2 linked regions of the Rhinolophus ferrumequinum genome follow. The protein of the gene in region 2 interacts with the protein of the main gene of each other region in a pairwise test. Links are inferred from orthologs where the notes say so. Each region holds a gene or a part of one and is shown on either strand. Other genes may lie near its edges.

Evidence for each region. The genes of interacting proteins can lie anywhere in the genome.
Region 1: the proteins of NFE2L2 (region 2) and MAFG interact in binary tests that used the Homo sapiens proteins (3 or more experiments, as listed by UniProt). The link is inferred for Rhinolophus ferrumequinum from reciprocal best matches to the Homo sapiens genes NFE2L2 and MAFG.

Annotation. Positions count from the first base shown.
Region 1 is NC_046304.1:54,701,773-54,708,779, forward strand, and holds the start of MAFG (transcription factor MafG), read right to left. Parts: upstream 3,088-7,007; 5' UTR 3,034-3,087; intron 2,838-3,033; exon of another isoform or gene 2,752-2,837; intron 2,102-2,751; exon of another isoform or gene 1,934-2,101; intron 578-1,933; exon of another isoform or gene 267-577; intron 1-266. Other genes in the region: PYCR1 (pyrroline-5-carboxylate reductase 1, mitochondrial), read right to left, coding at 5,663-5,828, 6,731-6,894. UniProt on the Homo sapiens protein: Since they lack a putative transactivation domain, the small Mafs behave as transcriptional repressors when they dimerize among themselves.
Region 2 is NC_046291.1:48,398,240-48,405,269, forward strand, and holds the start of NFE2L2 (nuclear factor erythroid 2-related factor 2), read left to right. Parts: upstream 1-4,019; 5' UTR 4,020-4,579; coding exon 4,580-4,624; intron 4,625-4,946; exon of another isoform or gene 4,947-4,969; intron 4,970-5,192; exon of another isoform or gene 5,193-5,785; intron 5,786-7,030.

The sequences.
Region 1 (7,007 bases), on a different chromosome or scaffold from region 2:
ACGGCCCTCTAGCCCCCTGCCCAGGGTCAGCACCACAGGGCCCCCTCCCTCCCACTTGGTCACCGTTCCCACACCCCACCCTCACTTTCTGCTTCCTGAAACCCCACCAAAAACATTTTTGTACTCCTAGTCCTGGGATCCTGGCTACAATAGCTGCCGCCATACCGTGCCCCCCACTTTCCAGGTTGGATGCAGGGCTAAGACAGACTGCGTTCTCCCTCCTGGAGGAGCACTTCAGGTAACTCTGGGCCAGGTCGCCTTCTTACCCTCACTGGAGCTAGTGTGGGCTGGGGAGGTAGAGGCACGAGTGGGCTCCAGGGTGGACTGCACCTACCCAGCCTTGCATCAGGAAGCAAGGCTGCAGGAAGGAGGCCACAGGCGTCTCCCCACAGCCAGGCCGCCCAGGGACTCAGGCAGCCCTGGGAGCCCAGTTCTTCCAGAGAGGAGGCTGAGCAGACCACAGCTGGAGGTGAGGAGGTCCTCAGGGCCCCATGCCCAGCCTGGGCCAGGCCCTCTCGGCAGTGCACAAGCTGGGGTGTAGGGGCCCTGTTCTGTGTCCTACCACTGTCGGCCCAAAGGAAAAGCCCCAGCACCAGCTTTTCCCACCCCCATGCTCCCTCCACCCCTGACTGCTGAGCACAGCGGTGACTTCCTGAAGAGATCACACAGAAAAGTGCTTCCTCAACAGATTTCAGCCTCCGCAGAAGGCCTGAACTCAGCACAGTGCAGCCAATTGCCTCCTAATCAAAGGTGTGTGTGAGCAGGGGGGAAGGGGCAGCAGGTCTCAGGAAAGCCAGTGCTTCCAGCCTCCTGGCCTGGCCTCGCCCAGTAGACACACACTGATGGGACAGACACAGCTTTGGAGATGGGGTGGCATGGGAATGATGGCTCAGGGCACCCCTAGAAGCCAGGCGGAGGGGATCCTAGAGGCCAAATCAAGAAACTGCCCCCCCACAACTCTCCTCCCCACCCCAAAGGCTGGACCAGAGCTGGGGCTCGGTCATCCTCCTTCCTCAGCTCCCCCATAGGCTGAGTCCACCTTGTGGAGAAGGCCCAAACGGCCCGCATCCACCAAGGTACCCTGGACCATCCACTCAGGCCGGGAGCCAGTCAGGAAGGGGCAGGAGGTCTGGGCAGCTCCAGCCCCTTCCCCTGGGCCCATACTCCAAGGCATGGACACGAGGCAGGAGGCAAGACAGCCAGCCTCTGCTCTTTGTCCTGGCCTGCAAACCCCAGTGGCCAAACCTTCCAGGCAGGCATGGCCTTGGGCACTCTGGCACCCTGACCTAGCCGGGCCTCACTCCCACCCTGCCTATCAGACCACCTCCTCCAGAAGCCCCCAGCCACTAAAAGTCACTCTGAAAAAAGTCTAATACTTAACTTCCACCGAAGCCTAATGTACTGAGAAGACTTAATGCAACACCCCTCCAGAAATCTGCCCTTTCCTAGGGTATAAAATTCCAGGCAAAAGATCAGCTGAAGAGTTAAAACAGCTGGCATCTCTAAGCCCAGGCAGGGCTGACTGTGTGTGCGTGTGACTCGGAGAACAAACCACAAGGCCAGCCTAGCCTGGCCATGAACCCAAGGCAAGAAGGGTCAGCTCTGGTCTAGACGAAACACTGCCCTACCCCTCGAGCCAGCAATCACCCACACACCCAGGAGAGGTGGCCCAGGCCACACGACCCTCAAGTGGTCACTTCCCAACAGTCGCCATCACCTGGCCCAAAACCCATCAGGGCCGCGTTCTCCGCTAACCTGCACAACACTGGGCCCCAACCTCAAGTGAGACAGCTAGCGGTGACTGGGAACTGCACTCTTAAACCCCAGCCCACCTGCTGTGCTCTGCAGGCTAGGCACCCACCACGCTACCACCACCCAGAGCCTCAACCCAGACTCCAAGGCTGGGCTGCAAAGAGGGGCAGGGCCTGCTCACCAGACACCTTGATCCCCAGTGCCCACGTCGTGCGGCTCCCTCTCATGTGCAGTCTCCTGGGAGCGCTGCGCCTGCTTGCCCCCTTCCCTGTCCACTTTCACCCCGGGACTCCAGTACAGGCTGTGCTACGCTGGGCTCACTGGGGGAGCCCTGGCTCCTGGCTCAACCCCACCCTTTCCTCCCCCCTACCCGTTGCCCCTCCTTCCAGGAGGCCCCACTGCCTCCCTCTCTGGCCTGTGTACCCCTCTCTTCCCTGCCCAGGGGCACCCAGACTGGCGGACCAGACCAGTCGCAGGGAAAGCCTGTTTCCCGCCCCCTAGCACGGCCCCCCTAAGCTCCTCCCCTCCTCTCACTCAGAGAACTATTTCCCGGTTAGGAGAACTGTCCCAGCCTTGGGTCGGGAACCAGCCGCTGGAGAAGAGCATGCCTGGGAGGGATGGACAGGCCAGGGGCTTCACCTTCTACCGCGCCGTGGCCCCTCCAGTTCCTCCTCACCACCCTGCCTTCAACTCGCACCTCAGTCCAAACTTAAAAAGCCGCCCCAGCCCCTGGGCCCGGCTCCTTCTCCACGTCCCCACGGTTCCCTTCCACCCCTCGTTTCCCCGCCTTTCAGGCCCCAGGCCCCTAGCTCAGATCCCCCGGGCACCGGGATGAGCATCCAGTGACCTCATGCTGATGACTCAGCAAGTCTCCCTCGGGGCTCTGGCCCGCGTGTGACGGAGCGAAAGCGACGCGAGCTGGGTCTTCCCAGCGCCCCCACGCCAGCCCTCCCGGGGCCCGCCAAGGACCCCTGCACCTGGGGAGGCGGCGACACACACCTGATGAATCAGCAGCTCAGGCCCGGGCCGCCGGGCTCCTCCGCGGAGCCCTGGGCGCCCAGTTCGACCCCACCCTTTCCTCCCGCCGCCCCGGCCGCCCCTCCCTCCACTGAGCGAGCCCCGCGCACGCCCCGCCCGCTCTTCGCCGCCCCGCGGCCCACCCCCAGAACCTGGGCGCGGGGGCCAGCAGTGCCCTGCCCGATGGGGAAATCGAGGCACGGGCCGCCAGCGGCGCGCGGGGCAGACCCGAACCCAGGAGCGCCCGGCCCGCGCCGCACTCACCCACCACACTGCGGGCCCGGGCGGGCCGAGGCCGGGGCGAGGGGCGGCGGGCGCTCCGAGGCCGCGCGGGGCTGGGCCGCGCGGGGGCTCCGGGCCCGGGGTGGGGGCTCGCCGCCTGCGCGGGCCGGGCCGTGCGCGCTGGGAAGGCTGGGCCGGACCAGGCTCGGTATCCGCCGCCGCCGCCGCCGCCGCCGCCGCCGCTCCACAGACGTCACATGATGTTTGGTCACGTGGGCTCCATTCATGAAGCGGCGACGCGACCCGCCGGGGCTTAAAGGGGAAGGCGCGACGGCGGCGGCGGCGGCGGAGGCGGAGCGCGCTCAGACTGCGCCTGCGTGCCCGGGCGCCGTCGCCCCGGCAACGCGCACCGCCCCCTGCCCGGGCGGGGTCTCGCGGGACTGGCTCGGGCGCGCCCTCCCCGGCGGCCACGCCCCCACCGGCCTTCAAGGTGGGGCCTTGTGACCGGTTCGGCCGCTTTCCTGACCCTTGTGTGCTGATACTTTCAAAGTCCATGTGTCCAAGAGGCCCGCTTCTACCTGCCCAGGGTGGGGGTCTCTGCCGGGGACTCACTCCTTAGGCGGGCCCTGCATGGACTCCAGGCCCAGCACTGGCCGCAGTAGTGGGTACGTGGGGAGTGACCAGGCCTGTCGGGGCCACCCTGGCAGACGCGGGAACGCAGCCCTGGCCCTGGTTTTTTCTGTTGTGCATTTTCTTCTGTGTCTCCTGTCTCCCTTTACGTTTGGAGGGCTCCCCAAAGTGTCTCCTCTGCCCACCTGCGTGCACGGGGTCTTGGTTCTGAGTGGGCCCAGGGGGAGGGGAGAACTGGAGATGAGATACTGCCAATGCTGTTCCTTGAAAACCCCCGCTCAGGAGCTCTCCTGATCCCCACCACCCTCCTGCCCTTTGGGGGACCCCACCTCTTGTTCTGAGCGCCCCTGGCACATCCTAGCTGCCCAGACCAGGTCCCCTAACCCACCAGAGCAGGGGTGGGTGTAAGTGGTGTCAACCTCTGAGGCAAGGGGCCTCCTCTTACTATCTTCACGCTCTGTGACTACTTTTTGATGTCAAATGCAAGCACTCTGGCTCCATCAAGTGTCCTCTCCGTCACTCCTCTGATCTTGCGATGGTTAATTTTGTGTCAAATTGACTGGGACACGGTGACCAGATATTTGGTCAAATATTATTCTGGCTGTTTCAGTGAGGGTGTTTTGGCATGAGATCGGCATCTAAGTCGGTAGATGTTAACAGATTAACTTCTGGAATGTGAATGGGCCTCATCCGACCAGTTGAAGGCCCAAATGGGACGAAAGGACCAAGCCTCCCTGCTGTGAGAAGTTCCCTGCCTTTAGACGCCACCTGCCTGGTGCTCTCTCGGCCTGTTGTCCTTTGAGTTGGAATGTCGGCTACCTGGGTCTCCAGCCTGACGCCCCACCCTGCAGACTGGACTTGCCAGCCTCCATAGTTGTGGCTAAATCTTTCTTATATGTAACTTACTATCTATCTCCGTGTCCTACTGGTTCTGTTTCTCTGGAGAACCCTAATCTAGCTCTCTACGGCCCTCCTGCTCCAACTGCCTCTGCCTGGGTGAGTGGGGGCGACATATGCCCCCACTAAGCCCGGAGATGTGAAGGATGCAGAGGCTGGTGCTCCCCCCACAGTGGGGAGCAGAGCAAGCCCAGCCTATGGTGCCAGCTTCCCAGACACTTCTAGCGACTGGGGCTTGAGGAGCTATCCCCTTCTCTAGAGGCTCCCTCCCCTCTGCTCACGGGGAGACTCCAACCCTGGCAGCCTAGCTACCTTGGAACTAAGGGCTCTGGGGCCCGGGGACTACTGGCTTAGCCTTTACTATTACACCCAACAGCAATGACCCCCTGTGGCAGCTGGAGGCCACCCTCCACACATGCTGACAAAGTCAGAAGTTAGGGCACTGGGCTGGAAACCAATTTATTTAACCTAAAAGGCCAGGGAGAGAAGTGACAGTGTCTGTGGTTCAGGTCAGGAATGGGGGACAGTGGCCTGAGAGTGCTGGTGGCCTTGGAAATCCAACTGTCTGAGGAGCCCTTTTCTCAAATGTCAAATGGGGATGAGGGGTGATGAGCTGGCCTAGAACTGTGGTCCCTCCCATTGGACTCAGAATGCCTGGGATCCTCTGGTGCTTCCCACACTGAGGAAGGAGGTGTTCCCCCCGCCCCCACCATGAGTGGAGGTTAGGGAAGTAGCAGATGTGGGGCGGGACTCCCCCCTTTCGCTAGACCTTCACAGGGGCCAGGGGGAACCTCGACCTTTGTGCTCAGGCCAAGCCTCAAACCAGCTAACGCTGAAAGGTGAAGCCCCCAAACCCCGCTTCCTGAGCTCCTGAAAGGTGGTCCTGATTTGGTTTGGGGCAGAGGAAGTGCAGGTTTGAGGTCAGAGTCCATCCCTGTTCTGGGTCAGGAAGCATTAGGGGACTGTGGAGATTCCCATTGGCTAGTGATGTGGCCCCTCCCTGGCTATGACGCTGGCTGACCCCAGGTGACCAAAGTCGTGGGCAGTGGGCCACCCTATGTGGCGTGGGGCTAGACACCCAGCACAGGAGCTCTGAGCCAGGAGAGAGAAGGTGGCGGGCAGCCTGACAGGCAGGTGAGACACTTCAGTCTTTCTTGCCGGTCGGGGCCATGCTTCGGGGAAGCAGCTTGGCGTGGCCAGAAGGAGCCAGCAGGGCCCTCGGAGGGGAGTCGAGCTTCACCTTGTCCAGGACAGTCTTCTTGATGGCAGCTGGCGAGACCTTCTCGCGGTCAGCCATGGATTGCAGCTCCCTAGGGAGGCAGTGAGGGTTGGGTCCAGGGCTCTGCCTCCTTCCTGAGCCCATGTGCCCATGAGGGAAGAGGGGTCAAGGCCCACAGCTCCCGGCACCTGCCAGCCCAGGGTGCTGCAGTGCTGTCACACCCCCTTCAGGGCCCTTGCACCTGCAGTTCCCTCTGCCAGCTACCCTCCCCTAGACTGCTATCTGCCTCCCTCTCACCTCATTCAAATCGGCTCAGTCACCAAATCTAGTGTCAGGCCCCCAGACTCTGAGCCCTCACTGTCCTGAGCACAGGATATGTGCCTCGTCTGTCTCCCCTGTGGGTTGGGGCCAGCAGGGCAGCACTGTGTTCTGGCCTTGTTGTCATGTGGTGGCACTCGGAGAAGCCTGGGGGGTTAGACTGGAGGGCAGGCGGGGGCTGAGAAAGATGCCCGTCCATCCTCAGACCTGAATAAGGGACAGTAACTCCGAGCTGAGACACCAAACTGTGTCTGTCTGTGCTCTTTCGTTTTTCTGGCTGCTCTCATGGAGCACACTGCACCGCGTCCTGCTTGTCTAACTTGCTTAACCTCCCCAGCCAGGCTGGGACAAAGGTATTATTGTCAGGCCCACAGAGGTTCCTTCTGGTTCCCCTGGGCCCACCTCCCCAGCTTGGATGATCACCCCAGTCTGACGGCCACCGGTGATGAAACCACGTGGGGAGCAGAGTGAGCACCCAGAGGGCTGCCCCTCCCGGCAGGACGATGGGCACTGCAAACCATATGCCAGGGAACCTCGGGGCTCCCTGTGCCCTGCCCACAGTCAGGCCCGAGCTCGATAAACATCCACTGCGTGGATGACTGAGGAGACGAGTGAGGCTGAGGGCTCTGGTGCACTGGGCGGGAGGCCCGGGGGCTGGCAGCAGCAGGAACCCACCGTGTACGGATGCAGGAGGCCTCCACAGCGTTGATGAGCAGGGAGCGGAAACCCCCACTCTCCAGCACGTGCAGGGCGTGGATGGTGGCCCCTCCAGGAGAGCAGACATTGTCCTTGAGCTGGCCTGGGTGCTGTTCTGAGTCCAGTAGCATCTTGGCAGCCCCCTGCAGCCAGAGAAGATAGGCTGACGGCTGTGGGGGCACCCAGCCCCCTCCACAGGGCACTGCCCCAGCCCCAGCCACTGCGGCACCCACTGACTTTCCACCCATCCATCCCC
Region 2 (7,030 bases):
ATAATATAAAATAATATAATATAATATTGGGTATAATATTGGGTATAATATAATATAAATAATATAATACCGGGTATTATATAATATAGTTTAAGGCCAGGTCTTATATTAAATTTTGCTCCAAAAGACACATTAGAGCTAATGGTCCGGCTAGGTCTCGTTTTCGGGAAACACGGTGTTTTTTGTGTGTCTGTGCACTCTATTTTCCCCACACAGTGATGTTATGTCTCAGCCACTTTGCACATCACTCCAATGCTGTAGTTCTTAGTCTCTACTTGATGTATTCATAAAATTCCATCTTTGTCTAGGGGCCCCTATTCCACTTTGCAAATATAGCAATAGATTAAAAGGGCAAAGGATTTTTAGACCCTTACCACAACCACACTTAAAGGTCTGATCAAATTCTCCAGGTTCCACTCTAGTAGGTACAGAATAGAAAGATTTCCAAAGCTTATGGTTAAAATTCAATTTGAAAATGAAGTGGACCCAGTAGCTTGGGAGAAAAGCTTAATACCCCCCTTACACTCCTACCCCCACTTCTGTTTTGCTTATTATTATAAAAGTAATATATGTTTATTTAGGAAAATGCAGGTTTATTTATTTAGGCAAAATGAGGAAAATAAAATCATCACTAATCAGAACAACTATGTTTACCATTTTTGAGCATATATGTTCAGTATTTTTTTCCTGTGCATATATATTTAAATAGATGTCAACACATATCATTCAGAAGCACTCTTTTAAACTTCTGGGTGTTTTTCTTTACTCATTGCACTGTGGCTCCTGCAGAGCACGTTTCTCTTATGAGCAGGAAACTACAAGCTAAAACTGGCTTTGGAGATTGATAGCTCTTTGTGTCAGTAGTTTGCATAATGAGATGTGCACACCAAGGAACCAAGGTTATGGGTGTGTTTTGAAATTAATACACTAATTGTGTTGAACACTGCTATACTGGAGTTCAGTTTATCCACTATGCACGCTGCTCCTGAAGTTCAAATTCCCTCAGCAGATATTCAGAAAGTATCTTACAAAACTGGTATAAATGAGGTTATGTCAGGGCCAGAATCTCTGTATGCATTTATTCCTCCATCTACTTAATTGCTGAAATGTCTGTGTTCCTTAAGTGTATTTTGATAAGGAGAAGATCTCACCAACATCCATCTAATGGTATGATACTGACGCATGCTGTGATGAGGTGATTTACTTTGTATGTAGCAACAAGCATATATTATAGGAAAGATACCTTCCTCATTCACAGGGAAGTCAGTTTGCTTCTGAGGGTTTGCAAAGTACTAGTCCTATATGTGCTCCCAGTAATGGTTAACAAACAAAAAGCAGCCAGGAGAAATCTTGATATTCAATACACACTGTTTTGGTTATCTATTGCTGTGAAACAAGCCACAGCAAAACTTAGTGCTTGAAAACTATTATAATCTCTCACACACAGTTCTTTATGTTCCCTAGGCTTAGCCAGGCAGGCTTCTGTGGGTCTCCTTAGAGTCTTTATATGTGGTTGCAGTCAGATAGCAGCTGGGGCTGCAGTCCTCTAGGGCTTGACTAGGTGGACTGGAAGGTCCAGAATGGTTTCTTCACTCACCCATCTGATGCCTTGGTTCATATAGCCTCTCTCTCTGCTTGGAGTCTCATCCCCCAGTGCTTTTCCCCATGGCTTCTCTCCCCATGAACATAGTCAGACTTCTTATGTGATGGCTGACTTCTAAGAGTATAAAATTAAGGAGACCTGACAGTGTGTCATTTCCAGCCTCCTTCCATAAGTTAAAGCAAATCAGAGGGCCAGCCTTGATTCAGTGTCAGGAGATTACATCGGTATCAGAAGGCTGATTCCTTAGGTGCCATCTTTAAAAACCAGCTACTTGAAATGCTCCAACTGTAAGTTGAACAAATTTACAATTTCAGCTATAATTCCAATAGAATCTCGGTATTTCCTAGCTCAAACATGGATTACAATTAAGGAGAAGTGAAAAGAAGAGTGAAGAAAACTCAAGATGGGGAAGGATTTTGAAACAGTAGGTACTTTCTTGGGCCTTACAAAGTTGGCAGCTTAGATCAAGGAAAAGAAAGTGAAATAAATTGGTCATTGCATTACCATTATCCAAACTGTGGGCTCAGAAGGCTTACTTGATGATGCTTAATTTTTATGAGAACTCTAGAGCAAAGTATTGCAATATTGACACATTTCAAGCATATACGGAGGGTTGTCTTTCCAAAGACATCAAAGAATTCAGACATCAATGTACAAGGATCAGTAGAATGTGAAACCAATTGAGGGGAAAAAATAAAGCAGTAGCTAGGAGAGCCTGGCAGTAAAAAGGGCTCCCATGGCACCAGGACAGGAGAGAAAAACCAGCATCATCTTTCCAGTTCTTCTGGAGCTTCTCAACATGTTGAATCTGTGCACCCACAGCACAATATATAAGTTTGGAAGGCAAGGCCTAACATAAAGACAATCTTGTTTCAATGTCTGCAAAGACTGGGAAACTGCTTTATGTGGCGGCTATGAGACTGGGGTTCCCTTTTCTTACGCCAAATAGCTTTTCCCTAGTGTTTATTTTTCTTAAACATGTTCAGACTCTTATCATATTGTTCTACTCCCTTTGAAAATATGTACTCTGCAGGTGCCTAAAATAATATACTCCCAGCAATTTCACTTCTGTAAAAGTAAAGGTTATTTCATTGAGTCTAAACTCAATGGCAATTTGTTGCTCAAGGAGGAAATACCAAACACTTTACAAACTCCTTGAGGGCAGCAGCCATGTTATATATGCCTTTGTTATCTCCTACCTCCTCGGCTCATTGTCTACCTTCTCCAATGTAGTAGTTTCAATACGTAACTCCAATTGTTAACAATATACTTTGCCCTTCTTTGATGCAGAAATGTCATTTCATTATATCTCTGCCTGTTTCATGTCAGGTTCATTGTAAATAATTTCTCCTGTTTGTTTTCAGTGTGCAGATTATTTTGCAGGCTTTTCACATAGCAGCTAAAAAGGTTTAATTCAAGTTGAAGAAACTTGCTTCCATTACAAGCAATTAATGTAGGCTTCACTTACCCCAAGGACTATTTGAACATATAAATTTACAGATAAATCCTGGGAGTGTCAAATTATGCAACCATGAGAAAGTAAGTTCTTTGGGCGTTGATCTGCTATAGCCAAGGGGCTGTGTGTGTGGTTTTTGAATGAAATAGTAAAACCACTGCTGGCATCACTGCTGGCATCACACCTGGTTTTGCATAATTCCAAGAAGCTAAAATCTGAAAACCAGTATTGTGAAAGAGTTATGTTAATGCGTAAGAGAAAATAATTTATCAATTCTTTTTTAAATCTTGTAAGATTTCACAGTATTCCTGTTTTCAAGAACCTGAAGTTTTCTGTGGGTAGTGATTGATTTTTAAGTAATTGTTTTTCATGTAAAACGTTAATACATTGTAAATTGAAAACATTTAAAATAACAAAGATAAAAATCATTCATGAGCCTACAACTACTACTATTTGGTGGACAACTTGGAATTCTTTTTCTAGGCACATGTTTTTACAACAGTGATCCATACTATACAAACTACTTTATAACTTTGTTTTATTTTTAAATTCATCGTGAGTACCTGAAAAGAAACTTGTCAAGATTATGGCATGTCCTAGTACTGCACAGTGTTAAAGGACGCCATCTGTGCTATCGTGTGTGTGCGTTGGTGGGAAAATGAAGCTGTTGTTGCCTCCTCTCCAACCAAAAGAGACTTCTTCGTTTGCCCTTGGCGTCCTGAGCTTAGCGAGAATGCAGGCGCGTGGGAGTAAGTGGAGGGCGTTCAGGGTGACCGCGAGCACGAGCTCCCCGCGCGGTCCACACTTCCCCTGGGCAAGTCCCGGATGGGACCGAGGGCGAGAGGGCAGCTCACGGTGCTCGGGGCCGGGTCCAAGCCTTTAGCCCCCGTCCCCCGGGCTGGCGCCACTCTCGGGCGGTGGGGTGAGATAAAGCGGGGCAAGGTTCTGCAACTCCAAATCAGGGCGGCGCAGCTCCGATACCAGCGCCTTTGCCGGGGCTCTAGGAGTGTTTGTTCCAACTGTTTAAACTGTCTCAAAGCGCCCGAACCCGAGCGACCTTCGGCAAACAACTGCTAATCTCGCGGGCGGAGAGTGTTGGCTTTATGTGCGGATAGGGTACATCGAGCGCGGGGACCCGGGAGCTAAAGCAGCCCTCCTCCCGGCACCACCCCCCCCCGCAGCCGCCCACTGGGACCCCCGCTCACGGCCCTTTCCCGCCCCAGGACCGCGAGCTTCTTGCGTCAGCCGGGGCGGGGGTGGGGGATTTTCGGCACCTCCTCCCGCGGCCAGTCAGGGAAGGAAAGGCCCGGGCTCTTGCCCCGCCTTCGGGGGGCGGGAGGCGTGTCGGGGCAGGAGCCCGGCCGGCTGTTCGGGCCGTGTCGGCGAGAAGCGAGTGCCCGAGAGCCCGCCGTCGCCGCAGCCGCTGCCGCTGTCAGTGCCGCCTGGTCCGCAGCGCGTCTCGGCAGCCAGGACAGGGCCGCCGCCGTCGGGGAGCCCCAGAGCACAGTCCCTAACTCAGCATGATGGACTTGGAGCTGCCGCCGCCAGGACTGCCGTCCCAGCAGGTGCTGCCCGGCCCTCAGGGCCCCGCTGTGGTACCAGGACGGGGCCAGGGGCGCGAGGGAGCCGCGGCCCGGCACGGACAGCCACAGCCGGCTTCTCCTCCCGTCTGTGGCCGGAGCCTGGAGTGCAGCGGCCGCGCACTGGAGTCGCTGCGCTTGCGCCGGGGCGGGGTGGGGCGGGGATCGGGAGCGGGGACCCAAGGGGCGGTGAGGGGAGTAGGGGCGCAACGGGGTGGTCAGACCGACAACTTGACTGCGGCCTCAGAAGGCGACTGGCTGGGGCTTGGGATTACGCCCGCGTGCGTGCGTGGGTGAACGGGAATCTCTAGCTGCGTCCCCGGCCACCAGGTTGGGACCCAGGAGCCCCATTAGGCCCCCCGAGTTTGAGCGGCCCCAGAGGCTGCAGGGTAGGAGGGGGCGGACGCTGGCGGTCTGAGCCGGCGCGGCCCGGCCCTTCCGGGGCCGCGCGTCTCCCCCGCCTTGGAGCCGGCAAAAATGTGCCTAGTCACGGGGCCACTCTCGGGGGAGCTGAGGTCCCCTCCGGGCTGGGACCCGGAACCCCTCCTCTGCCGCCGCTGACCCCGGCCCCACAACCTGCGCGGTCTGCGGCACTGCGTGCTCATCCTGCTGGGCCGTCTAAGGGTGTTCCTTTGCAAAATAATCTGTCTGTTCGTCGGATCACTCTCTGAGGCAGTTTGGCGAGAAAGCCCTGCCCCTAGGTGGGGGACGGAGGAGGTCCCCAAGTGCCCGGAGCGCTCGAATGCCCCGACGTGCGGCGGCCGAAGTGGGCCTCGCGCAGTTGGAAAGGTTCAGGCTCTGAGAACCCGGGATCCCCTCTCAACGCGCAGGGAAGAGTGGGTGGGGCTGAGGACCGCAACCGGACTTGTCGATTCCCGCGGGATTCCTCCCCGTGGCGCGCGCCGCGTGCGTGGCCTTGGCCTCGGTGACAGTGGCTGGTTGGTTGTCACGGCGGCCCTTGGTTGGCCCTTTCCTGCTTTATAGCGTGCAAACCTTGCCGCGCCGAGGCCAAGGGACAAGTTGGAGCTGTTGATCTGTTGCGCAATTGTTATTTTTCCCCAGGGCGGCTTTGTCTTTGGATTTAGCATTTCAGAATTGCAATTCCAAAATGTGTAAGGCAGGATATTGTGTTTTGTGCTGTCAACGGTAAGTGTAGCGAGTGTACATTAGAATTGTTATTGCTTTTAGGCTGTTACTAAGTTTTTGGCTTTCATGTATTATTTCTCCTTTGGATGCTATGTATAATTTTCCTTTTCTGTTGAGAATTTGCCTCGATTTCTTAGCATGTTGCTTCTCTTGCAAGGGCAGAGAGAGGGTGAAACACCTGTGTTACATAATACTGTGCTATAAAGTTCTTTAAATTGTTGTAAAAGTGAAAATTTTCTATTCATACTTTGTAGGGACTTTTAAAGGAGTAGATATTTATATTTCCAATGTTTTGGTAATTGGGTTCTGAGGAAAAAATATTTGGTTCAAGGAAATGTATAACTTAATAAGTACAGTAAATATGTTTATGCTCATAAACCTAATGTTTTAGACTGATCCTGAAGATGTAAAATAAGGTTTTACGTCATTAGCAATGTATTAATTATGCTGCTTTTTTTTTGAAGCTGTTTACAGTCTTGAACTTTCCCCCAGTAATAATAGGGAATGTATTCCCCTGGTTTCCACCAGTATGAAGAAGTGTGCTTTTGGATTTACGAGCTGTTCAAGAGTAATCTATATAGCCATCTATATGACAAAAGGATATAAAATGCTAGTGACCTTTAGCTTTCCTAAATTCAGGAATTGTAACCTGAAGCTCTTCATTATTTTGTTTTTCCTTTTTCTTTTTTTACTATGTAATTTAACATTTCATATGCAGAAGTGCATAAGGCATATACACTGCTTTCTCATTTAAATGGGAATTTTTTCAGTTTTGTTTGGTAAGGTAACTCCTTTTCTGTCTTTGTAATCAGACATCAATAGTATACATTTGAAGACTATGGAAAAAGAAAATGGAGTAAAATTTAGAATTAATTTCATGCCTGTGATTCATATTAAATCATTGTTTGTAGTCTAGAAAGAGTTGAACAAAGAGTGGATTCTGTACTTTGGTCAGAGAAACTCCAGGTGTGATGTGGTACTAAGATCCTGGTTTTTACCTCTGTACAGAGAAGGTGTTCATGAACAGGTCAGTAAGGAGAGCCTTAGATTCTTTCTCCAACAGGTGGAAGGAACCATTAACTCTTTTCAAGGGTGTCTTGGAGAGATAAAGTACTTTGTGTATAAGAGATGAAGTTGATCTTGGACTACACAGATAAGATTATTTTTAAAAAGAAAAATGCAACAGATCTCTCATCTCCTGAATGACTATTAACCAAAGACCAACTTGACTTTTTGGATGTGAAA